Struthio camelus: one gene and its partner. The protein of the gene in region 1 purifies or fractionates together with the protein of each later gene. This does not show direct contact. Links are inferred from orthologs where the notes say so. Each region holds a gene or a part of one and is shown on either strand. Other genes may lie near its edges. The genes, in order: POMP and PSMG2.

Region 1 (12,510 bases):
TACAATATTCCTTTACAAAAATAGACTTTCTAATTTCTTCTGAGACTAAAAAAAATAAAAAATAAAAATCTAATTTATATCGCTAGGATTTACTGATAGTTTAAATAACATCTATTAAAAAGCAACATCTCCTCCTGATCTATCTAATTATTCATCTCAATAATTTAAAATTCAAATGCTGCAATTTTCGGAGATACTTGATGCAAAATAGAGAATTTGCCTGATGGTATTATCTTACTTTGTTTCCTTTCTTCTCAATTTCACTTCAACATGTTAAATAATAAAACCTCCACAACGTTGTAATGACATGTGCTGAAATAACTCTGTGCAGATAAACTTACACGGGCTATCTGAGGCGGCGTTCTTTTTCGAGTAAGTATAGAGCTGCCACTTTTTAAATTCACTGACAGTTTCTGTCACAGGCACTTCCTACTGATGCTATGTAAGCTGAATAGGAAATCTCTCACTGTAAAACAATGTTCTAGCAGCACACTTTTAGCATCTTCCAACAACAAATCTGAACACAAACACAATTTAAGTTGTTAATATAACAAATACAACAAACAAAAGTAATTCATTCCAGAAAGCAGATAGCTGTACAGCCTCAGAATTAAGAGACGCAATACAAAGAGCAAAAAAGTCCAACCAATTGTGTTGAAAACATACAGTTAGGAAGTATGAACAAAATCATCCATGGAAAATGTACAATCATAGTTTCCAGAAAAAGAAATAAAAATAGAATTCTAAATACATTATTCTCTGCATAGAAACGATTTATTAACTGTCAACACCCTTTACAATGCAATGGCTTTGAATTTAGCAAAAGTTCTTCCCGGAGAAACACTATAATAATTCTTCTGTACAAAAATGACATTGTTGTTTCACCTGAGTCTTGATTCAGTGAAGTCCACTCAGTTGGAGCATTGCACCTGTGTGGAACCCTGTGAACTTTAGGACAGCTCTCCACAAGTGCCAGGGTCTGCACACAGGCTGCTTACTGGAAGCTACAACTTCTGTTTATGTATACGCAAACAAACTGTGATTTTCTATCAGAAGTGAGTCATCAAACTCAGACCTAAGTCCAAGCTTGGCCAAAATTCAGGAGGCTCTAAACCCACTTCTGCTTCTGCTGGCTAAAACGAGGCGCTTTGGCTCACATCCTGAAGCGTTCAACGCAGAATTACCTTGGAAGATTTGAGCCTTAACTGTTTCTAAACCAGCCATCACCATTCTATCTATGTGACTAATTATAGCGTTCTTAAGAAGCACATTGTGGCTGGATCAGAAGCTTCGCCACTCTTTTGTTTTCAAAATGATAGAAAAAGAACGTGGAGAAATTTTTCTGTTGACAGTTTCTTACGGTGAAAAGAAACACTATTTTTAATGATACCTACGTTTATGTGGAAAACGTCTTCAGCTGTAAGAAGTTAAGGTGACTTCTAATTATCTTGCTGTTTAATGGATATGGCTATGACTCAGAGGAGTCTCAGACTCCCCTCTTGCTGTCAGGCATTTTGGCAAGCTCTTGGGGGATTTTTTCCCTGCACAGTAGCAGGAATGGGAAGTAATGTTCCATTCAAGTCTTTCAGCTGTGACTACTATTAATTGCTTTCAAGGTTTCCCTTAGGAAGATACTCTCACAGGAAATGTGCTTAGTCTCACCTATATGTGCAGGATGGTTATGCTTCTGGGAGGCCAGTCACTCTCTCCAAACTCAGAGAAAAGACAAAAATATCCTTCTCTGAATTCTCATTCTCGGCATTGCCTGTGAGCAGTGAGGTCCTGACTACACGAACATTAGCTAGGTAAAACATGCGACTTGGGCTGAAGAAGTAATTTAAGATGAATATTGCTACACGGGTGTAATACAGCATATTGAAAGTAGATGATTCAGACTATTAATAGAGAAATACTCCCACCAGCATTCTCCTGGTTACTGCATGTGCAGCTTTAGCTTTGCATATACCTTTTTCTTTTTTTATCCTTTGACCCTATTTTTGCCGATCCTCCGAGTGAAGAGTAAAACTACTCTAACTGTGCCACAAGCATCTAATGCCCAGCTAGACTGACCAGAGGCGGCTGGCAAGTGGCGAGGAGGCAGGGGCGGCGCAGCGAGCTTGGCTACCGAGCAGCCCCTAGTGACCGGCTCTCCCCGTTGCAGCCTCCTGCCTTCCCGGCTCCGCAGAAGGAGCACGGAAAACAGAAGCCCAGATTTCTTAGAGTCTGTGCAGGGGACTGCTACAAACAAAGAGGAAAGATTACGGATGCCAGTCACAGACTTACAAAAGCACTGACAAGCTATGAAATAAGTTATCGCTTCAAGACGACAAGGGCCTCTTTCCAAGTACCTTACCTGACTTAGAAAAAAAATTGGCAGTCCTTGTTTCATCTTCCGAAACAGCAACTGAAGACATTTTAGAAAAGACATTACTGTCTCATTTAAAATTCACTAATAATTCATAAATCAAATGATGGAACAAGGGAACGTTGGTATTACTTACCCACGGGTAGCTACAAGCACATTAGTTTTACCTTTCATAGAGAGGTGATAATGGACCTTTTTTGCCATATATTGGACTGTTTGCTGGATTTGAAGGATGAGGATGAGCACGTTTTGACCCAAAAAATCCAGCAAGCTGTGGATTTGCTAATAAACAAACAGGAAAAAATCATCTGCTTTGGCAATAAGTGAGATTCTTTTTTTTTTTTTCCTCTGCAACAGTAACTTTTTTTCTAAATACTTTCACCAGTTTCAGGAAAGGGTGGGTTAGAGTCAGGGGTTTCCTGAGGCTTTTCAGAACATGGTTTTAACGTAGCCATGTGTTTAGAAGAGCCCCTAGAGAGTCTTGTTTTGGAACACTCTGACGCCTACACATTATTATCTTTGCTACGTTTTGCAGTTTTGTGTGAAATTTATTTTTAATCTTTAACAAAACATGCTCTTGTTTATCTTAAATTCAGAAAAGGTTTAATAATTTAAAACAAAATAACTTTTAAAATAATTAGATTTACAATGAATACTGAAACATAAAAGTATAAAGCAAGTTAACAAGAAAGGGCTTCTTAAAGATCAAAGAAAATGTGTTTATTTGATTTGATTAAAACAAATAAAAAGTACTTTCACTTTAACAGGTTATAACTGGCTGTTGACAGAAACCAGTGAAAGAGTTTCCCAGCCCCACAGGATAAAGGTTTGCTTCTGGTAGAGGTTCACGTACTCAGAACAGACTGCCCACTGATATGGCAAAGGAATTATATTTTGAAAAGCGACAAAGCTACATCAGTATTCGTAAATGTTGACACAAAGACAAGTTTCCTTGGACAATATACTCCTTTTGCTATTATTAAATAGGACCCATGGTGTTAAAAAATGGGTATTTCTCTCTCTTCCATCTATTGATTTTAATATATAAAAAAGTTCCAAGAATGGGAGAGGTAAAAGTACCGTTTAATTCAGTGGAGAAGCTGGACATACTAGCTCAAAATTACGGAGCAGTAGAGTCCCTAGAGTAGAGCTGGCTTCCCTAGATCCTGGGCAGAGCAGGCCTGGATGTGCCGGCCTCTGCCCAGCCAGCCGGGCCTCTGTCAGCATGAGCTTCCAGTCCACCTGGAAAGTCGCTGCCACAGACTTCAGCGGCAAAAGTACAGACCCCTCATGACATGATGCCGTGCTGGCACCCAGGCAAGAAAAAGCTAAGCAATCGAGGCTGGAATGCATGTTAAGTCAGGCTGGCTAAACCCTTGTTTAACGAGGTTTTATGTTTGTTAATGCCAATTGAATTGCCGAAAGGGTATTTGAAACAAGTGTGTATTTTTAAAGAGTCAACACTTTCCTCATTTCTAAAACATACAAGAGTTCATGGTCTATATATCTCTTGAAATCTCAGTGAAGTCCCTCAGCTAAACCAAAGAGACCAGATTTGACATTCCAAAAATGCTGAGGTAAGAAACATGCAGAAAGAAATTTAAAACATGCATACATTTTGGGCCTTCTTTATGTAAAATGTTGAAAGGAAAACCTTTTATTCCTAAAAAACCCAATAATTTTAAGGTTGTCTTTAAAAGCAACATGTGAAATTCACCGCCAAAACTTTACTAGGGTAATAATTTTAGAGCAGTAGCAGTAATTTTCACACTAATTTTAGGGTGTGCATACGGTCTAAAAGAAAACCTCTTCAGCAGCCACAATCATTGCATCCCACTTTCCGTCTTGTTACCAGCAGCCTGGAAGATGTTCTCAGAGAGACTGCCCGGGTCCGCAGGGCAGCAGGCCAGCTCAGGAAAGGGTAGCCATACCCATTGCTTCTCAGTAACTGCAGCGCTCATGGCTCACCACAGGTTCTCATTTCTGATAAAAAGTTTGATCAGCCTGACAACTGCTCCTATCATTCCTATTAACGTGCAGTGGAGACACAGATACGGTCATAGGAACGAGAGATATTACAGTCATCCAGTACTAAGATATTCACTGTAAGATCGTTAAAACAGGCTGTGCAAGAAATCCAACTTTGCTCATATTTAAAACAGTTGGTAATTTGATGAGAAAACATATCTGTGATTTGTGTTTATGTCTGGGAGTTTTCCCTAGCGTGAAAGTCTGTCTTTAAAGGAAAACCAGATCTTTCTCGCAATGTGCATTCTTTTATGTTAGTTATGCAGCCTAAACTATGGATTGCAGTGATGTCAATAATGGTACATGGAGTGATTGTATCCTGTCTGTGTCCTGCAAGAATGACTTTGAAAGTTAGATGTTTCATCTCCGCAGTCATATCCTGATCAACAAACTCAGTCAATAAATAAATACATTTAGTGACAAACCTAGCTTTTCTGTAAGCTGCAGTTAAAACAGGAAGTTGATTTGTTTTTTGTATTCACATCTATTCTATAATAATGAACCCAGCACCACAATATCCGAGTACCCATTATAATTACAAGATCAGAGAAGCCTTTGTGGTACCCATTTTCCTAAAAATAATTTTAAAACCCAGTCTTACATTTTTATTCTTTTGAAGTCTTTGCTTTAAACCGAAGACCTTCACGTAAAGGGCCGTAGCTTCAGTTCGGAAAGATTTTTGAACTGGTGACCTGATTCTGCTGAAGAAAGAGGATAACAATAAAAGGGTATGAATTTCTCTGTAATTAAATATTATCCAAAGCTGAGTGTGCTATCAATACATATATATATATATATATATATATAAAACTCCCATGTTAATATCACTTTTTCTACAGTACGTAGTGTTCATTTTAACTGCCATGTATGAAATTCGTAGCAGCAGGGCAATCTGGGGCAAAATGTGAAACGTGCTGAGCAAACCACAAGTCTCAGAAGACATATGTGAGAGATATGCTCGATGCACATCTGGAGCAGCGCAGCAAAATCTGTGGCAAATTTTCTAACGATGGTTGGAAAGTCTTCCAAAATTATTTAAGTACGCAGTTCCTGCGTTGTTACTGTTGCTGCTGTGAACCTTTCCAAAGATAAACTTGCCGTGGGCCGGTCCTTGCCGGTCACCGGCAGAGGACCAAGTCCCTGGCAAAACAGGGCGCCACAAGAGCCGTCTGCGCAGAGGGAGATCTCTCAGGGGCCGGCACACAGCCTAAGGCCGCGTTCAGCTCGGGGAGCGCGGCTCCTTCCCTCCCTCTCTCGAGCCACCAGCGCGGTGACGCTGTGGGGGTCACTCAGGCGCCTCCCCTGGCTGGCACCACCTGCCCGCCATCTGCTGAGGGGCGACAAGCTTGGCCACAGAAAAGCGCAAGGCGACAGCCCCCCATCAACCAGCGCCGCCACACAGCTAGGGCGGGCAGCCAGGCGCCAGCGGAGGGGACTTCGGGTGGCATCAAAAATGCTGTTTTTTGACGGCCAGCGTCAAACGGGCGCGGGAAGCCCCGCAGACCCCGGGCAAGGCCCTGCCAGGCGCCGGCCCCTCGCGCTTCCCGCCGCCAACCGCCACCGCGGGGCAGCCGCCGCCCCGCCCCTCCCCGCCAGGCCCCGCCTCTCCCCGAGCCAGCGCTGGCTGGGGCGGCCGCCGCTCCTTGCGCGTGACGCAACGCGCCGGGGGAGGGGCGGAAGTGAGGAGGCGGGGGAGGCGGAAGCGGAAGCGGGTGTCGGGCCAAGATGGTGAGTGAGGGGTCGGTTGTGCTGCTCGCGCCGGGGTGGCGGGGGGAGGCGCGCGCCTGCTCCCTCCCCTCCTCCCCGCGCCCCCGCCGCGGCCGTTGGGTCCCAACGGTCGGCGGGGCGGCGGCCGCCGCGCGCCGCCTTGGGGCGGGGGGCGCCGCGCTGTGCTGAGTCACTGGGGGCCGGCGCGGCCATGGCGGGCACGCGTCCTGCCAGGCGGCGGCCCGCCCAGGGCGGTGTCCCCGGCTGGGAAGGCGCCCGGGACCGCTTGGTTGTGGTTTAAAGCCCCTCTTCTGGGAGCTGGGGAGGGAGAGGGAGGCCAAGGCCGCCGGTGGTGCCGGCACTGCGGGAGCCCGGGGCTGGAGGGGCGAGCGGCAGGCGGGGTGGCGGAGTTCGCGCCTCCAGCCTTCGTGGTGTTTACCGGGGGTGGGGCCGCCTGAGCCGGACTGGTCGCTGGCGTGATTTGAGGGGTTCGCTTTTTGGAAGTACTTCCCGGGTTTCTGCTTTCTTTTTACTTTCTTTCACTTCGATCCTCCTAAACCTTTGCCCCTCTTGTTATACCTTTTAGGTAATAGTCTTTTTTACGTGTTTTTGTTTGCAGCAATCTCAGATCAGATCACTATTGAGTACATTAATTCGTAGATGCTTTAGACACAGTAGAAGACATTTTAGGATTTTCTGATAGCCTTTAGGTTACTGACAGTCACAATGGTAGTATATTGTTTCAAGAGACTTAACTGTGAGCATGTGTTTTCTCTTGGACCCAACAAAACTGATGGAAGAAACACCTGTGCTGAGCAGTTCCTTGCTGTCACCATCCGGAGATTGTTACTAATTGATCTGTTGATGGATTAGTTTGTGTCAACAGTCCTAAAAATCCTTCAATGTCATCAGCTGTTGTAGCTTTAAATCGCTGATGCGGGTTAAGATGGTTTTACTTACTAAGTCCATGGAGATGTGTCTTATCTGGTCGTCTGCTGCAAGTTGCCATTTCTTCTTTGCTCTTCCAGTTAACTGATGTAATAGAATGGATGAATACATCTTATTCTCTTTAGGACAACCTTAAATGGTAGATAAAACCAGTTTGGTTGCAATTGATTGTTTCTGTACTAGCATGATTGAAGGAATACTGAGACGTGTCCCATCAGCTGGGCAGTGACCTGACTTCTCCCCACCCATCGCTGCAGCACAGGGTTGGGAATGAACAAGGGTAATTATGGTTTTTAACTGCTTTAGCCAGCTCCCAGAAATGTTTAAGTATCATCAGACTCTGAAAGCATTCTAACCTAGTGATTTTTTCCCCATCACTCCACCCAAAGCAACTCTGAAGGCTAAGACTTGTGCCTGAGTAGTTTGAGGAGTTTTTGAACTATTTAGTAAAAAGTTGGTAGAATCTTCGTAATTTTCATTTGTTTAGGGGCAAATGGGGCCTGGTTCTGTAAAAGTAATCGTCACTCTTTGTTCCAGAATTCCAGAGGAGCTACTTCTCTGTTGAAGGATAGTATCCCGATTACTGAATTTTCACCTGCTGGACCATTTGGAGGTCATGATCTTCTGCGTAGAGGGTGTGCTTTATTGTTTCTTCTCAAATTGTGCAGTAGTTGATGTGAAGCTTAAAATATATGAAAAAACATATTAAATATTTGTGGTTTTGAAGAAGTTCTTTGTAGATGTATCTCTTAACCTGTGGCTAAAGCACCTGTTTTCAGTCAGATTGTCATTCAAGCTTTAATTTTCTGTGAAACATCACTTCCAGAAGTAGATAATGTTAATGGACTTAGACCCATTTGATGCTCCTTTTTAGAGAATAATGACAAAGTCTTAATCATTATGAAATATGTGCTAGTTTATATATATATGTATGTGTGAATGTGCCATAGAACTGCACAAAATGATTGATTTTGAGATTGGTACAGAAAGTAAATTTTATAAAAATAGTATTTCTTATTAACAATTCATGTGAGTGGCAAAACCATGTACATGTATTGGGTATTGAATCTGCAACAACTTCATGGAGTTTAAAATGCAGGTGAAACAGCTATGGGGAGAAAGTATGTGCAGTATTTAGTCTGAAGAAATTTAGAAAAAATTGAGACTCTTCTACATTAACTGCACACCTACTTAGTTTATTGATATGTTTCTCTATTTCTGAAGCGGGTCAAGGAGAAAAAATTATCATTCCTTTATATCAAATATAAAACTGAAGGAAAAGAAGATGCCTGAGAATCTTATACAAGGTTTTGGTTTTTTTTTCCTTCTGACAATGCTATAATTAAGAATTCATTTCTGCTTCTTCGCCACTAAGCATCATTTTTGAATAGCTGAAATTATGCTAATCTCATGTCTCTGTGGATTGATGTTTATATCTGGAATTAGTATTGCACTGCAACTTAAAGAATGGTGTTCTGATTAATTTTCTGTTAATTACATTGTTTTGTCTACATTTTTAGCTTTACAAGCGTGAAAAATGAATTGTTGCCCAGCCATCCACTGGAGTTGTCAGAAAAAAATGCAAGTATAACATCAAATGTAGTCATCCTCACTCTTAACTAATTAGGAAGTTTAATTTAACAGTATGGTTACCTGCACTGCTTTGTGCAGCAGCCAGGAATGAGTAAGGTCCTGTTTTTAATTAAATAAAAATGTTCGACAGCAATAACATTTTATTTATGCCAGTAATATTCTTGCCAAATTTGTTTAACATGTAACTTCCCACTTGTGTGTCTCTCCACTTCAAGTATCTAAGCGGACTTCCAAGTTGGGCTTTATTTCAATAACTTTCATTTCAGAAAACTTTTTAAATTAAAAGTTGGTAAGTTAGTTCTGTACGCAGCCTCTATTGTTAGTGGGGAGAGAGAGGGACACCTGCCACCTACAGAAGGCTGTTCTTCCTATTTTGTCTTTGTTTACCATATGTCTTCATTTTCATACTTTCAGTTTGTGAACGAATAAATATGTTTTAGTGAATTGCTCAAGCCCATTTACAAATTCTCCACAAACAGATTGTTCTCAGCGTATGCAGTCTTGTCCAACTTCGTCATCTCTCGTGGACTGCTTAGGAATGGTCTGTGGACCATAGGTTAAAGGTTTCCATTGCCATGAAGGGAACTTGGATTCATAGCCTTGGCTAAATAACTGGTTAGGCTGAATCTCATCTCTGGTGCCTGTTTTGTCAGCACAGAAGCTTTTGATACAGTTTGGTGTCCTGAAGCAAGTGCAGTATTTGAACATAATGTTCCAAAATACTAGGCTAACCATTATGATGATGTCAAACTTTAATGTACTCTAGGCAGTGCTAATGTTGTCACCAGTTAAAAGAATGATATTAATGTGATATCAGCTTCAAGAGTGTAGTTTTAATTGTGTATTATAATTGTTTCAGGGTCATCTGACAATTGTTTGTTTTGTTTTATTTTTTTCCCCCACTGACTGCTTAATTTAATTTTTATAACTGCTTTTGCCATATGAAACCTACATAAGATTGTGTGCTAGCGAAACAAAATGCACAAAAAAAATAAAAACAGATGACATGGGCCCCTAAGAAGTATATGGAATCTTTAAGTTGTTTTTTTCCATGTATTATTTTTGGATTTTTTTCTGGAAACTTATGGCGGATTTCTCTAATAAATATTTTTCACTTACATTTGAATGGAAAAAGACTTTCTTAAGCCTGGAATAGTTGTGGATGGTTTTACTGCTATAAATGTAGGTAGGCTGTTCAGGTAGCATGAGCAGAAACCAAATCTTTTTTCTACCCATTTAAGCACCCTCTACTTCTAATTAAAAAGAAAAAAAAAAAGTGACCGAAATTATAAGTTTGGGATGAGGAGTATAACTAGTATTTTCAGTTAACTTTTAAAGAAAATTCAATATGGATTAATCTCAAGAAAAGTGCATGTTATGCCATTGATTTTTGTATTCCTTTTGGTTCCTGAGATCGCTTAGCATAAATATGATGATAATCTCACACCAGTAGAATTTTTCACAGTCTTTATGAGTACAGCTTTTAAAATAAGGAGGTTTTTTTTTGGTTGGTTGGTTTGTTTTACTTTACAGTAGTGTCTTAGAGGCATGTAGTTAGTAACATAAAAGCCAAAGCTGAGATGATTACTCAAGCTTTGGCAATATTGAGCATAAGTGTTGCGTCTGTGTGTGTGTGTGCTGGATTCATGATCCAGCATTTTTTTCATTGTTAGAACTTGCTACTAAATGGATATGTGCATGTTCTTCATGTTATTTATTGGTTTTAGAGCAGCTGGTAAGATAAGAGCTATCTTTTGTTTTCCTGAGTCATGCAGAGTGTATGTGATGCTCTATTTTTCTGCGTGATCAGAAAAGATATATTTCGAATGTTCTAAACTACAGTCTTCAGTGACTAAAAATAATATAAATTGTTGCTTTCTGCTTTGTTTTTACTTTATTACAGTATTAGCACAAAAATAGGAAGTTAAGCTTGGTTTAAAGTAGTACACAACTAAACCAGTTGGTGGGGTTGCATGTTCTAATTGTCAAAAAGAAAAAAAAATGAAATTGCTACTTTTAATTTATAATAAAAGCAATCTAGTTGAGTGCAGTTTCAGTGACTTAAACACTTACGACTGTATCACTGAATTTTTACTTCTAAATTTCAGTGAGCATATTTATCTAAGCAGGATGTCGCAATCTCTTCTATGACCGTACTTGAAAGTAGCTCTTATTTAAAAAAAAAAAATTGTTCTTTGTGATAGTTCCAGTTGAATCAAGATAAAACAAACTTTTCCACACTGAGAAATATTCAAGGACTCCATGCACCTTTAAAGCTGCAGATGGAATTCAGAGCAGTGAAACAGGTAGGCGTTTTTATCAAACTGGTATAATTTAAATCACTGGAAGGAATTTTTATCTGGATAAATAAGCTTTTGGAAAGCCATATTTCTCTATTAAAGTACAACAGTCTTCTCTTTCAAAGAGAAACTTTTACACTGAACTGGTGTTATTAACAAAAAACTGACCTAAACATTGCAATTCATAATTTCCAGAACAGTCAATATCCTAAAACCTTTCAGTTGCTGTTGTTTTAGTGATTACTTGGTGAAATGAAAAGCATATCAGGTTTTATGTGTGGACTAACTTCCTGCAAGCCTTGGGAGAAAAGCAGGAGAATTCAGTATTAATTCCTAAAATTTGAACTCTCCTCGGTGGAACACATGAGCTTTATGAGAAGAAATCTTTGCGTCTGCAGGGAAAAGAGACGTAAAGGTCTAAAGCAGGTAGTGATTTGGGAGCGGACATCAAGGTAGTTTGCAACATGAAACAGAATTTTCTCTGTCCTTCTTATTCCACGGCCTTGTAAGATCAGGGGAGCTCTTTGGTGAGCTAGCTGCAAAGGTTTTAGCTTTATTTGGGAAGCTGAGTCTCCCTTCTTTCCCATCTTATCTCCTGTGATAGAGAGGAGCTGGAGGCTGACTTTGTCCCTTAGAAGCGTAGAAAATTCATTGGTCCTAGTAAACTATTGTGAGTTGGGGTTCTTGGTTAGTTGGTTTTTGGTTGGTTGGGATTTTGTTCTGTTTTTTTGCTTGCTGAAGGTTGTGAAGTCAATTAAAGATTTCTCTTCCAAGTGGGTTGGAGCAGTTATATGTTCCCTTCCAGTGGATCGTGTTTCTGGTGAGCCACAGTAAGCTGCATAAAACTTGGTAGAAATTTCTTCTTTTGAAGATGCAAAAGGCAGACAGGAGATACGAAAACATCCCTTGATCTCAGCAGTGCTGTCTTGTGAGGAAAGACCTTTTTCCTAACAGAAGCTAGCACGTGGCAGAAAATGGGGCAGGTGAGGACAAAGATCCTGCTAGAGTGCCTTCTTGACAGGCACTCTACAGTGTACAGGCATTCTTGAGCAGGGAAAAGATCTGGTGATCAGAAGATTGTTCACTCCAGGCTTTTGTCTTTCATGTTAGATATACAAGCTATCTTGTGGTTTAATTTCACCTTTCCAAAATGAAGGGGAATACTGTATGTACTGGAACCTCTCACCCTTGTACCAGTAGCTGTAGTTACCTGCAAACTATTTTGTGCGTGAAGAGAACAGCTACGGGATACTTGCATTTGTAAAATGCATTCATAATATAACTGGAGTTTCACTATCAGTAGTGAATGCAGTTGTGAATTGAGATAAGCCATGCTGTGTGGTAATACTAAGGGGGGAGGTTGCAGAAAACAAACAGAAAAACACCTACATTTCTTAATAACTACAGTGAAAGCTGCAAATATAGTAGGTTTTAATATAAGTGTGTGCCAGTAGCCTTCTTATTTTTATCATTATTTTCAAAGGAAGAAGTAACTTTGCCTGTTACTTTTGACAGTCACTTGAGACTGAGAAATCCAAATATAAAAAAATTAAATGCAGACTTGCACGA
Region 2 (12,433 bases), on another chromosome or scaffold:
CTCTAGGAAAACTGCTCCTATTCATGTTAATTCATAGCACAGTAAATGCAAAGTATTACACCATTTCTTTTACTAAGGGACAGTTACCAAGGAGCAACTGACACACAGTAACTTATTCCCTTAGTATAATTTGTTCATATGTCTACAGCTAGCCTGCAATTCTAACTGGCCAAATTACTTTACAGGCCACACAGATCTCAAATACTGAGTGGATCATGTAGCATGTCTACTTTTTATAACTGTTTCAGCTGGTATAAAACCTGTTTGAAATAGTTTGTATAAACCACTTGAGTCTTTGTCATTTGTGAGAACTGAAAGGAAAGACTAAACCAACTTTAATTTGTACACTGGGGGTTGTAACGTAGCCCTTATTTCTGTATCGTTAAGCTTCGATAATATGTAAAAGTTCAATCCTCAGAAACTTCATTCTTTGCATGCTACACCAGCTGTAGCCCTGACCTGACTGTAACCACATCATAAATCTATACACATTCTACACACATAGAAACTTCAAAATAGATGTACAAAATATAAGATATCTACAAAATAAGATAAGAACAGATTGCTCTATTAGTAGAATTTACAAACCTGTGCAAAAATCTTTACTAGCCTTATGTTGTGCGTAGGCCTAATCTGTAGGTATTCTCTCCACCACTGTTTAGCATATACAAGAAATAATCGTTCTTTTTCTGCTGTTTTCTGACGTTCCAAAGAAAACTGCAGGTAAGAAAACAAAAACAAAACAATCCCACATATATTAACTCCAAAGACAAAAATCAGAAATTAATAAATATATTAACATCAAATCCTGGCAGAGGTGAAATAAAGCTTTAATATTTAAAACATGCCATACAAATGAAGAATTGTATTTTCAAACTAGAATTCAAGGAATGAAAACCTCAAGTTATGTTTCTTATTAGAAGGCTCATGTAAGCTCATATATCAAGCCTGACTGAAACGGTGTTCCTCTTTAGCAACACGTTTCTGCACAGGATTGCTCGGCTTGTGAAGTGTGGAAGAAAACCTGCATTTACCTGCAGGCCAACATTTACTGGCTTTACAAGCAGGAAAACTGACTGTTTAAATGATTTTTCAGATGAGGGAGAGAGCAAGGAAACACAGCTACTATCTGCAGAAAATTGCAGTGCAGTTGAAGCGCATTGCATCTTTCTTATTTTTCTTCTTAAGGTTTTGATAAAGGTAATTTGAAAACTGCTACAGTAATATTTCACATAATGATCAGTATATAAAAATAGTTTAAGAAAATGTAATTATAATGTAATCAAATTAAAAACAATTAATACGAGACATTCAAAAACCTCACCGGCATTAACATCTACGTGAGTAATTCTATACTGAGTTTTTCCCTCTCCCCCTGCCCATATAAAACAAAACAAAAAAGTCAGCCCACCCAGAAATCACTTACTTGAGTATTAGTGATTTCTGGAGACAGCATCTTATTTAGCTGTGGATACATTTCAAGCCTGATGTTTAAAACACCGACAGAAACCTTTGATTCTGTACCTTAGAATCAAAATACATTTTGATTAGTCTTTTCAAAATCTTTTTACTTACAACATTCCAGCCATACAGGAACAAGAAGTACAAAAAATAATGCCTTTCAACATATGCAAAATAAGTATCTTTATTTAAATGTCACACTAGAATGAGCCAAATGACACTGAAAGAAAGGGTAATCAGACTGAAAAGAGAGGTATCTACATCTTAGACAATTATCCAAGTTCCATTTACAGCCAACACCAGGATATATGATGAGTAGCGTTCTAGATGTGCCTAGAATAGGTACCTAAAATAGATCAGGTGAATCACACTGAAAAAGTGCCTGTTTCTACTGACCACACAGGTAGATCAGACGTAGGCAGTTAAAACTGAGTTAAGTTAATCTTCCCTGAGATACATTGTATTATGAAGGACCCAGTACGCTATAATAATACATTAGTCAAAAAAACAAAAACACTATTGCTGCATAAAGCTCAACATTTAGAATTAGATAAACAGTAAGAAGAAAAAAAAAATCAGAGAGATGGGATTATAAGTAATACGAGTAACAGAAGCCTCATATAGGAGTTTGTCTATCTGAGATGACAGTATCTTTCCATATTATTGACGTATTTTGTACAATGACAAGACTTCGGAAGAGAAAAAGCACTGGATTTAGATATTGTTTCTTCATTATTCAGAAGAATTAACAGTAATTAGACTTAACTTCCCCTTCTCCCCCAAGTATCATGCTCAAATTATTTTGTATGCATTTCCAAATAATTATAGACGAAAACCTCTCTACTTGAAAGCCTACCCAAAGCCGTATTACTTAGTACGCTTTGTCAACAGTCAGCATATCCAAAAGTAACTAATGCTGATAAAAAAAATATTAGTAAATAAGGTTACTAGATTTGTGTCCAGTGGATAAACACTGCACTAAACCATCCCCCAAAAAGCAGGTAATAGAGATAAAATTTAGGAATAACTTACATAGTAAATCAAATTTTCAAAATACTTTGCAGATATAATATCTTATGAAATTAGAAAGGACTGCTTGCCTAACAGGTCGAGAAACTGTGATAAAGAACGCTCAAATGGCTCATCAACTACTACTTGCCAAGCCTCTGGGAGAGCTAGAGTAGGAAGTCATAATAGATTTAGCCCTGTATCTAGTCTTTATCTACTAAATCATAATATCCTGGAAACTCCTAAAGGGCCATATGCAGAAGCAATACATAAAAATACACATGTATACTGACTGTGAAGCACTTAAACAAAGCTGGTCCTCCATTCTAGCAGAAACGTGTTTCCAGCAACCAGAACAAATGGCAGCACAGCAGAGAAAACTTCATCTACCAGCTGCTACTTTGCTGTGAAAGGGACACACTAGATTTTACTCTTCAGTACACTAGCCTGAGATTTTCATGGATATTAATCAGTTGAATGCGGGGAAGAGGCAGGAAGCTTTGATAACTTATGCAGATTTTGCAAAAAACACATAGTGGAGAGTTCCCATCTGACAAGGGGACCACTATGACAGAGGGTCTAGAATACACACTTTTAGTATCTTGATAACAGTGAAAAATCTGACCATTGGTCTCCTATATAAATGTTTTCTAAAGATACCTTATATCAATTCATGAGTCTAACCATAATTAAACTGCATACTGCTTTGACCTTATAAGCAAGCTCAATAGCCAATATTTTAAGTGTTTGCATTTTACCCTTATTGTGTATTCTTACCTACACCAAGGAGTTCAACTGCAACATTTGTTACACCGTTCTCTGCAGCCAAGACAGATCGCCACTCCAAGAAATAGGATGCTACTAGTGTAGTCTCACCAAATGTGTCTGTTTTGATCAGAACCATATGCACTGGATCCGATATTGATAACATAGTGGTTGCATCCACCATTTTACTTCCATCACCTGCCATCATTAAACACAGACAGCCAGAATGTTACCATCCCAATACCGCCTTAAAATTAAAGCATATGCATTTACATTCCTTGCATACATTACCTTTTAAGAAAAGTGTAAGCAACAACAATCCCACCTTAAACCAAAATAAGATTAGGACAGAGCTACAGAAAGATTACAACTGATTAATTGACAGAGGCAATAAACAGATTTCTATATTTGCCTACTCCAGGGTAACTCATTTAATTGTACAAAAATTAAAATTGAAATATTATTAAAAAATAAGAAAGTTATTTTTATGTACTAATAAGTAAAAGCAACTGCAGATGCGTGCGTTATTATTTTAATAAGTGGTAACACTTCAGGTCAACTTACTATGCATCCATATTTAGGAAGCAGCTTCCTCTGTAGTTAAGCTCTGACCCTACGAGATAAACTGTTCCATGAGCAGCAGAATTAACAAAGCCTGGTCTTCTCCGAATTCGCAGTATATTCACTCTCTCTCACACAGAGGCCTGCTATAACTCTAGCCTTCTTTCTGTCCTCTGACACTCCATGACCTACCCTGAATTTCTACAGGATTCAGACAGTATCAGCCTCCTCTTCCTTTATCCCAGTACCTTAAGATTCCCCTGTTTATTCCAGAAACCGTTTTTTAAAACACACATAGCTCCCTACTATGTTCCCCAGCTAATAACAGGACAAAGACAGTATAGGCTGTGGATAACTGACTGTTCTGCAGGTGTTTGCCAACTAGCAGGCAGACTAAACTCACGCAGAAGCTTTTCCCTCCATACGATAAAAAAAAGGTCTCCTTTCTTCACTTCTCAGCACAAGGTTCAGGAAAACATGAATCTACCATCTTTGGCACTACTATCTCACTGTTACATCTGGATAAAGTCGGTTAAAAGTTACTTTGGAGTGGAAAAGAAGGAAAATAATAGGTAAGAATCAGTTCTAGATCTAGAAGTAGCGGAACCTGATACAGCAATTGTTTTTCTTAGGAATACATTATAAAAACAGGCAAAAAACATTAAATAATATCAAGCACATTTTAGAATAACTGTAATGTTAGAATAAAAAACGGCATCCACTGCAAACTCACAGTCTTCCTTACCCAGGCTATCCTTGTGTACTTCAAGTAAAAAACCATCATGAAAATCTGGCTCACAGGCACAGGGGACAGGTTTAGAACGGAAGCGCTGATTCCGAAAATGCAAACACAGAGTGAAGGTAGAACAGATTTGGCCAGGCAAAGGCTCCGGTTCCTGAAGATGTTCCAGAAAAGCTTTTCCGCCCAAAACCTGAAGGTAAAGATACCTCCGTGTTGGGTTAATATTAGCTGTAAAGCGTAGCAATAAATATGAAGAAACTACAAACAGATCTTAGGAAGTATGTTTAAAATATCTGTTATCTAAGTGGAGAATAGAAAAAAAAAAAAACTCTTTCAAAACAAGTGCTTAGGGGAAAGCAATTTTAAAACTTATGGAAGATAATATACAATAAATGCTATTTTATGTGCAACTAACTTCTGCTGTTTATATGAACCCACTTGCATCTAGACAAGTAAGAAAAACATCTATTTCTGCACAATATGGAAACTTTAAATGAATCCAATTCGCTCTGTAATATTAATTCAAAGAGCTCAATAAACCTGCACTTAATTTATTTTAAAACTATAATCCAAACATTAAAATAAACAAGCAACATACCTTTTTTCAGAACTGGTGGTTCTCTGTCAACAAAATGCGTAGATGGCTTTGGAGCTGAAGTCCTCTCCTTGTCATTCACTTCCTGGAATTGCAATTAGACTTCTTAAAGAATCAAGTGAGGCAACAGTGCTATTCCTGTTGTCTCTTAAAAATTAAAAGAATTCTCTCTTTCTACTGACTGTTGTTTCTCAAATATATTGCCTTGTAGGATTTAAGATGTAAGGGAACTGAACAAGTACTTTCAGTGTAATATTAACACTAAACCAACTCAGTACTTACAACTCAGTAAAGCTAATATAAGCACTTAGAAGTAATTGAGTCTGCACTTTATAGTAAAAGAGCTGTCATAACATCAAGTCGATAATAGGAATAACCAAAATACATTCATGTTTCAAAAGCTACTTACAGTTACAAATTTAAGCTCTTTAATAACATCATCAATGATTCCTCGCTGTCTTAAGGCTTTTATCAGGTCTTCCGTGGATAACTGTTGATGCTCAGGTGCAAACTCTTCACGTATAGTCTCAGCAAGAACTTCTCTGATCTTGCCATGAACATCCATCTGAACAGAAAATTCATCATATGCTAGAAATACATGTTCAAACTCTCATAAGCTTTGTAAATAATACTTCTTAATAACCCCCACAGTATTTAAATTCGCACTCAGCTGTATCACAGCAGAATGCAAGACTGGTCTCTTCAAACTTATTTTCATTTTCCTCCTTGATTGAGGCTTAAGTATGATAATAAGAATAAAAGAAATGAAGCTCCTTATATGGTCACAGTTAGCACTAAAACGTTTCTCTGTAAGGTAACGGGTATTCTCCTAGGAATACAGAGATAACTGCACCAAAAGAATACCTCTTTCTGCACATAAATGTGTACCAAACAACTTTTTATTGTTTAGTGAGAAGTACCGCAGCAAGTCACACTATCTCACCAAAGCAACTGCACCAGTTAAGAGCATTCCAAACCTGAGCATTTCCACTGCTTGTGACAGCATCCCCAGCCTCGAACATCCCTTCTCACCAACAGCCCTGCAAATCCATTGATTATAAAACTTCCATGCTTTTAATTTCTCTTCTCCCTCAAAATTCAAACTTATGGCAATGTGTGTATGGGAAATAAACTGAATGTTTTTGATCAGGTACATCCACCGTCCTATCAGCCCTGATGAGCCTCCACTAGCTGAACAGCCCAAGCCACTGTATCCTTATCGCACCATAGGATGTGTCTTCAACCATCAAAAGTTCTTTGGAAACTGTCAGCCCTCTGATGCTGTGGAGGTCTGCGTGTTTGACCTGCAAGATGAATCTAAATGGAAACCCATGAGCGGAGAAGCAATAAAATCTGTGTGTTCCCCTGGAACAATATCTTCAATTCCTCCTTTTCCTCCTCTTACTTTTTACAGAAAGGAAAAAAAAAACTTTAGATTGTTGCAGGTAAGGCATACAAATAGGGAGCCTCCATCGCAAGCTTTTTCTATGATCATAAAGCCAGAATTTCTGTACTTCGATGGCTCAGCTGTGAAACAGCATGTATTCCTAAAGTTGTTTCTCCCACAGGAACGATGCAAGGCTATAGCCACTGAGACACTGCGATACTTCCGCGATGCGAGCTAAAGCACTGATATTTCTCTCCCACTGTTTTCAAAACCCCGCCCTAGTTTCTCGCTCAACAAGCGGCGAGCAAACAGACGGCCTCCCGGTGCCTCCGGCCGCCGTGGCTCCCCCCCTCCCCCCGCCGCCTCCTCTCACAGGGCCGAAAACGCCGCTCCCCTCCGCCGGCCCTCCACGGGGCAGCCCCGACAGCGGGAGCGCCAGCACCGGGGGGGGGGGGGCGATGCCAGCTCCATCGCCCAGAAAAGGGGAAACGAAGGGAAAGAGCGAGGACGGCAGGAGAGGGCGGGGAAAGGCCGGAGGCCAAGGCGGCCGTTAGACCAGAGCGCTGATCCTCGCAGGCCCTCTTGGGGGGAGGGGGGGGGCCGCAAGCGCCAACATGGCAAAACAGCACCTCGGGAAGTACATGAACCTGCTGAAGTACGGGGGGGGGGGGAACAAAAGGGATGGGCGAGGGAGCGGACACGGAGCTGGAGGCGCCTCCCCCGCCTGGGCGGGCATCGCTGCCTCCAAGGGCCGGGGGGTCCCTATCACCGACGCACCGGGGATTTCTCCGAGTAGACGAAGTCGCTCCGCGCTCAGGACGGGCCCCAGTGCCCGGGGGCCTCTCCACCTTGTTACCGCCCTCACCTTGACCAGCTGCTGGTGGATGAGCTGCTTCAGCTCCGAGGCCTTCTCCGGCGGTAGCGACATGGCGGCGGGACGAGCCGCGACGCCCCGCACTCCGGCAAAGGGGCGGGGGGTGGAAGACCAGGCCGCCGGCCTGCGCGCCGCGGGCTAAGCCCCGCCCCCAACCGCCTTTCTAACGGCCGCCGCGGCGGGCCCGGCCCCGCCCCCTCGCGGGCGGAGCAGCGAGGGCGGCGGCGGTTACGGCCGTTGCGTTGGCGGCCGTGCTCGCCCACTCGCCTCACCGGGGGAGGGGGGGAGCCTGAGGTAGGAGGAGGGGGGCGGCTCTTTTCTCTTCCTGCCGGCATGTTTGTTCCGTGTGACCATGGCAGCGGCGGCCCCTCCGCCAGCTCGGACTTTGACGGCTTCACTCTGCTCGTGGTAAGTGGCCTTGCTGCTCCCCTCCTCTCGCCGAGGCGGCCGTGGGGAGGTGCTGCCAGAATGGAGCGCTCCGGGGCGGGGGTGAGGGACGTGCTGCTGCTCGAGGCCGTGGCTCTCGGGGCGGGGGGGGGGCTTCCTACAGCTGGGGCCTGAAACAGCGTCGGAGGCTTTGGCGGGCGCGGACGGGGGCTTGTCCGCGCGGCTCGCTCCCGCTTTGGGGGCGGCAGGCCGGGGACGCTTTCCTCTCCCCTGTCCGGAGGTCGGCCCCGGAAACTTCTCAACGGCCTGGGGGGAAGGGGGGAGAGAGGCTATGTACACTAGTCTTCAGTGGCAGATTCCTTAGCTGTGCTATATTTAAGCTGAGCTTGGAATTGGTTTAGAAAATACTTTAATAATTTGTAACGTGAAATCGATGTAAGATTAAACTGCTAGAGGTTACTTTGTGTATTGTAGGGTACGAATTCTAGTACAGGCTGTGAAGTAGCAAGCCGTTATTTTTCCTATTAGTAAGTGCCTTTACTTTATCATCTAAGGGTAACCTTATCGCCTTTCATCAGGGCCAGATCGCCCCTGATGACTGTGCATATTTACATGAGGTACAAGATTTTATACAGGAAGTCATTCCAGATCAGCTGACTGGGAACAGGAAATAGGTCATTGCTATTTTCTTTGTCTAGGAATAACAAGCTGTTGAGCACCAGGCAATTTGTAATGACGGTCTGTAACTGCTGTTACATCCTTTTTCGCTCTGAGGTTATCGGCATCAAATTCCTTGTGTTTCCAGGATTGCTGGCCCTTGGGCAGCAGCAGTTCATAGGCACGGGCTTGCTTATAAATGAGTGGGAGGCAACTGAAAATTTTACAGTTGTCTTCCATTTTCAGCTTCTGTAGAAGGACACAAACTCGCAAACTGAATTTTTCCTTGTATGCTCTCAGATTGGGTCAGCATCAGCTTTGATTGGTGATAACATATGCTAATTTACTTGTGTTTTTAGGACAATCTGGTATTTATAGATTTAACGTGCAGTATCGGCATTGCCATTCACTGTCACTTTGGGGCTGCCAATCTCTGCATTAGATTTTGGAGTGATTTTTATCTACTCTGTAGCCAAAAAAGGGGGGATTGGGGAGGACACGAGGACACCAGTCTCCAAGCCTTTTTTTTTTTTTAAGTTTATAATGAGACAGGATTATTGACAGAAGCAACCAGTATGTATTTGTGGCATAGGGACCACATTATATATTAGTAAGCTGTTAACAAGTAGTAACTTCTGTAAGAAAATGGTGCCACTTTAAGAAATCATATGGTTAACCGGAATTCAGCTAACTTAAGTTTTCACTGTTTGCAAAAGCATGCTGTATTGTCCATAAAACACGCTGCAATTCTTTAAGTGAATTATGTCTTTACTATTGTAATGCTAAAACACTTCTGTTACTTCAGCCAGCAGTGTCAGTGGGAAATGTTGGTCAACTGGCAATAGACCTCGTGATTTCCACACTGGACATGACTAAAGTTGGCTACTTCTACACTGATTGCCTTGTGCCAATGGTTGGGAATAATCCATATGCAACTGCAGAAGAAAACTCAACGGAGCTGAGTATAAATGCTGAAGGTATGTATTGAATGCAAGCTAGATCTTAAATATTTGCCTGTAGAAAGCAGTTGTAAGAATGTTTCTCCTTTTTTTTCTTACCTTTTAGATGAAGTTCAATAATAACTTTTGTAACCAAATCTCTGACTCGCAGATAAGAATGTAAATTTACACTTTGTGGAGGAAACTTACTTTTGTTATTTTGCATAAATAGTTTGAAACATGGAACCGGTAAGAAATGTTGAATCTCAACCATATTACAGTGCTGCTGAATCTCTCTGCAGTTTTAATCCTAGATAATGTGGAAAGTGTGTCCATACCTACAGTAAAGCATGGCATGCAAGCTAAATTAGAGTATAAAAGGATATTCGTCCTGTCTTCTTCCTTCCCACCTATCTTTGCCTTTTCCTAGTGTGGAGGGTTTTTTTTTTTCTTTTTTCTACCTTCAAGTTTTCACTTCCTTTCTGTGTCTTGATCATAGCATTTCAAATTATATTGTTTTTTCCTTTTAAATCATGGAAATCTCGAGATAATCTGTCGTAATCTCTGCAAAGCTGTATAAAGAGTTTATCTGAGTCACTGCAGGAGATAGTTTTTGTTTTGTTTTTAATAAATTTTTACTTCATTCAATCCTTTGTTTTTATGCCAAGTGAAATTAGATTCAGTGAAGATGATGCACAAAAATACGTATTTTTTTACATTACTGAAAAGCCTGAAATAATTCACAATTTGGTAAGAGAGCTGAAAGGTTTACCTCAGATTTATGGATTGGATAAATCTGGATACTTCTAAGCTCAGATCCTTTTTTTTTTTTTTTTTGTTATGCACTGTTTTATTTTCTCCTTGTAGTGTATTCATTACCTTCAAGGAAACTTGTAGTTCTGCAGATCAGATCACCTTTTATAAAGGTACGTATGTTCATTGTTCTCACTTCAGTGTTCAAGTTCAGTTGTTCTACTGGCCAGTAGTTTTCAAATGGTCTAGAAGAATTTACTCTATTATAATATCTTAAAATAAGCACAACTGAAAAAATTCGTGCTCCCTATTATGAAATAATGTCTTAACAGCAAAATATACATTTTAAAAAAAAAGCAAAATGTTTTTCTGCTTAGTGATATAACGTCTTCCGTAATTGATAAAATTTTAGCTAACAAAAGCTGTCTCCTACATTCATTAATGGTTGAGATTTGTTTGTTTGCTTGTTTGTTTCAAGCTCTGAAACAGCTCAGCTAATTCAGTAGAATTTAGTGAAAATATGTCCTTAGTTATTAACTGTCTTGACAAAACAATATGGTCTGTTTCCCGCCTGTTTATTTTTCTCTTCATATTTATTGTTTTTGTGTATTTGTCTTTTCTTAAATAGCTTAATTTTTGCTGTCACCCCCATTTATTTCCTGCTGTTCTCTATTCATTATATATAAACAGTTAAAATTAACTGTTAACTGTATAGTGGCTGTGATTTAAAATGGGCAGAACACCACACGAGAGTAAATTGTGTTGTAGTATTTTTGGCAGTTTAAATTGTGGGAAAATACTGTGGAATTTTATCATCCCATATTGTTCTAAAGGTTTTCCCGTTGATATTAATGGCACACAGAATGAGTGATACAGTTATTATTAATGTGGTTTTCATAATTTTTATAATTATACATATATCTTTGATTAAGTAAACAACCAGTGTCCTCTGCTTTTTAAAAATATATCTGAAGACTGAATGGATATGAAGAAAAAAAAATTTCCTCACTGCTGAACACTAAATATAACATCTAGTATTGTAGACTTGTGGCTTTTCTTAAGGGCATGAATTTTTTTTTTTTTTTTTGGTCTCTCCTCCCCCCCCTCTCTCTTTGCGTAAAGAACAAGTACAGGCCATTCTGTCAAGCACTGCTTTCTTGGGTGCAAACCAGCAAATGTGCTAGAGTTATTCTTCTGTCTAGCAGCCATGCATACCAGCGCGATGATGAGCAACTTCTTGGGTATGTGTGTGTCCTTAAATGATTTGATTGTTTTTTCTGTTATTTTTGGCAAACTGGCATATATACTTAGTACTTTTTGGCAGGGTTCTTTTGCTTTACTGTGTAGGTAGATCATAAGATACTTAATATATTATTAAAATAGTGTGTTATACAGCATTAGGCTCTGAGCTTTGTTAGTCTCCTGACAATGCTGAGCAAATAATATGCCATAAGTAAATTTCTGCTTGGCCTGCACCATCAGCCTCGATTTTAACAACTTAGTTTGTTATTGCTGCAAGCGCTGTCAGGGATTAGCTGCTAACATACAGCTCACCGATTAGATTTTTAACGTTTAGTTAGAATATTTGAATTTCTTACCGCTTCTTAATTATTCTGCATTTTGGGTTTTCTTTTTTTAGTAAGGTATCTTTTTATAGGCAGTTACCAATACTTACCTGCTAGGAAAAAACTACACAGAGTTTTATTAGGTGTGCCTCCCCCCCCACCCGTTAAACAAAAGAAAAAGCATAGCTTGATGATCGAGGCCTTGATAATCTATGACTTACCAAAAAAAAAAAAAAAAAAGTATTGTTCAAAATGAACAACTCTTATCACCAGGGTGTATAAATGTTCAGAGCCCTGAGGAGGTCTAGGTCTATGCATGTTCTAGATATAGTTACCATTGATTTTGCATAGAGTTTCTAGAGTGGTCAGCAGACATGGACTGAAATGAGGGAGACTGATGGTTACTTTATGTATTCCGAGTTCATCAGTTGTGGTGACTTACTCTGAATAAGTCTGATACCAGAGAGACACTAATGAGTGAAGGTAATGCATTAAGGAAATACTGAAAGACTTAACAGAAGTCTGCAGATATTTGTAGTTTAAGTTTATTACAAACATTATATCAAAGTGAAGCCCAAGCTTACTTTAACTAACTTTAATTGAATAAATTCCCATCGGAAGGAAGAATAGCCACCATTTCTTTTGTAAATCATTTTAAGAAGCCTATAACAGTTCTCCTATTTAAGTGCTTGTATATTTGATACCCTCTTTTTAGATGCCCAAATTGGCACGTATCTTGA

The links.
Region 2: the proteins of POMP (region 1) and PSMG2 purify together in Homo sapiens (co-immunoprecipitation; 6 studies listed by BioGRID and IntAct, counting the BioPlex papers as one, with this or other methods). This does not show direct contact. The link is inferred for Struthio camelus from reciprocal best matches to the Homo sapiens genes POMP and PSMG2.

Annotation. Positions count from the first base shown.
Region 1 is NC_090942.1:200,245,645-200,258,154, reverse strand, and holds the start of POMP (proteasome maturation protein), read left to right. Parts: upstream 1-5,987; 5' UTR 5,988-6,118; coding exon 6,119-6,121; intron 6,122-7,585; coding exon 7,586-7,683; intron 7,684-8,568; coding exon 8,569-8,629; intron 8,630-10,845; coding exon 10,846-10,947; intron 10,948-12,510. UniProt on the Homo sapiens protein: Molecular chaperone essential for the assembly of standard proteasomes and immunoproteasomes. Degraded after completion of proteasome maturation. Mediates the association of 20S preproteasome with the endoplasmic reticulum.
Region 2 is NC_090943.1:113,582,901-113,595,333, reverse strand, and holds the start of PSMG2 (proteasome assembly chaperone 2), read left to right. Parts: upstream 1-7,558; 5' UTR 7,559-7,726; coding exon 7,727-7,801; intron 7,802-9,242; coding exon 9,243-9,414; intron 9,415-10,242; coding exon 10,243-10,301; intron 10,302-11,250; coding exon 11,251-11,369; intron 11,370-12,433. Other genes in the region: CEP76 (centrosomal protein of 76 kDa), read right to left, coding at 589-717, 1,427-1,524, 3,247-3,432, 4,541-4,765, 5,136-5,217, 5,542-5,697, 7,385-7,447. UniProt on the Homo sapiens protein: Chaperone protein which promotes assembly of the 20S proteasome as part of a heterodimer with PSMG1.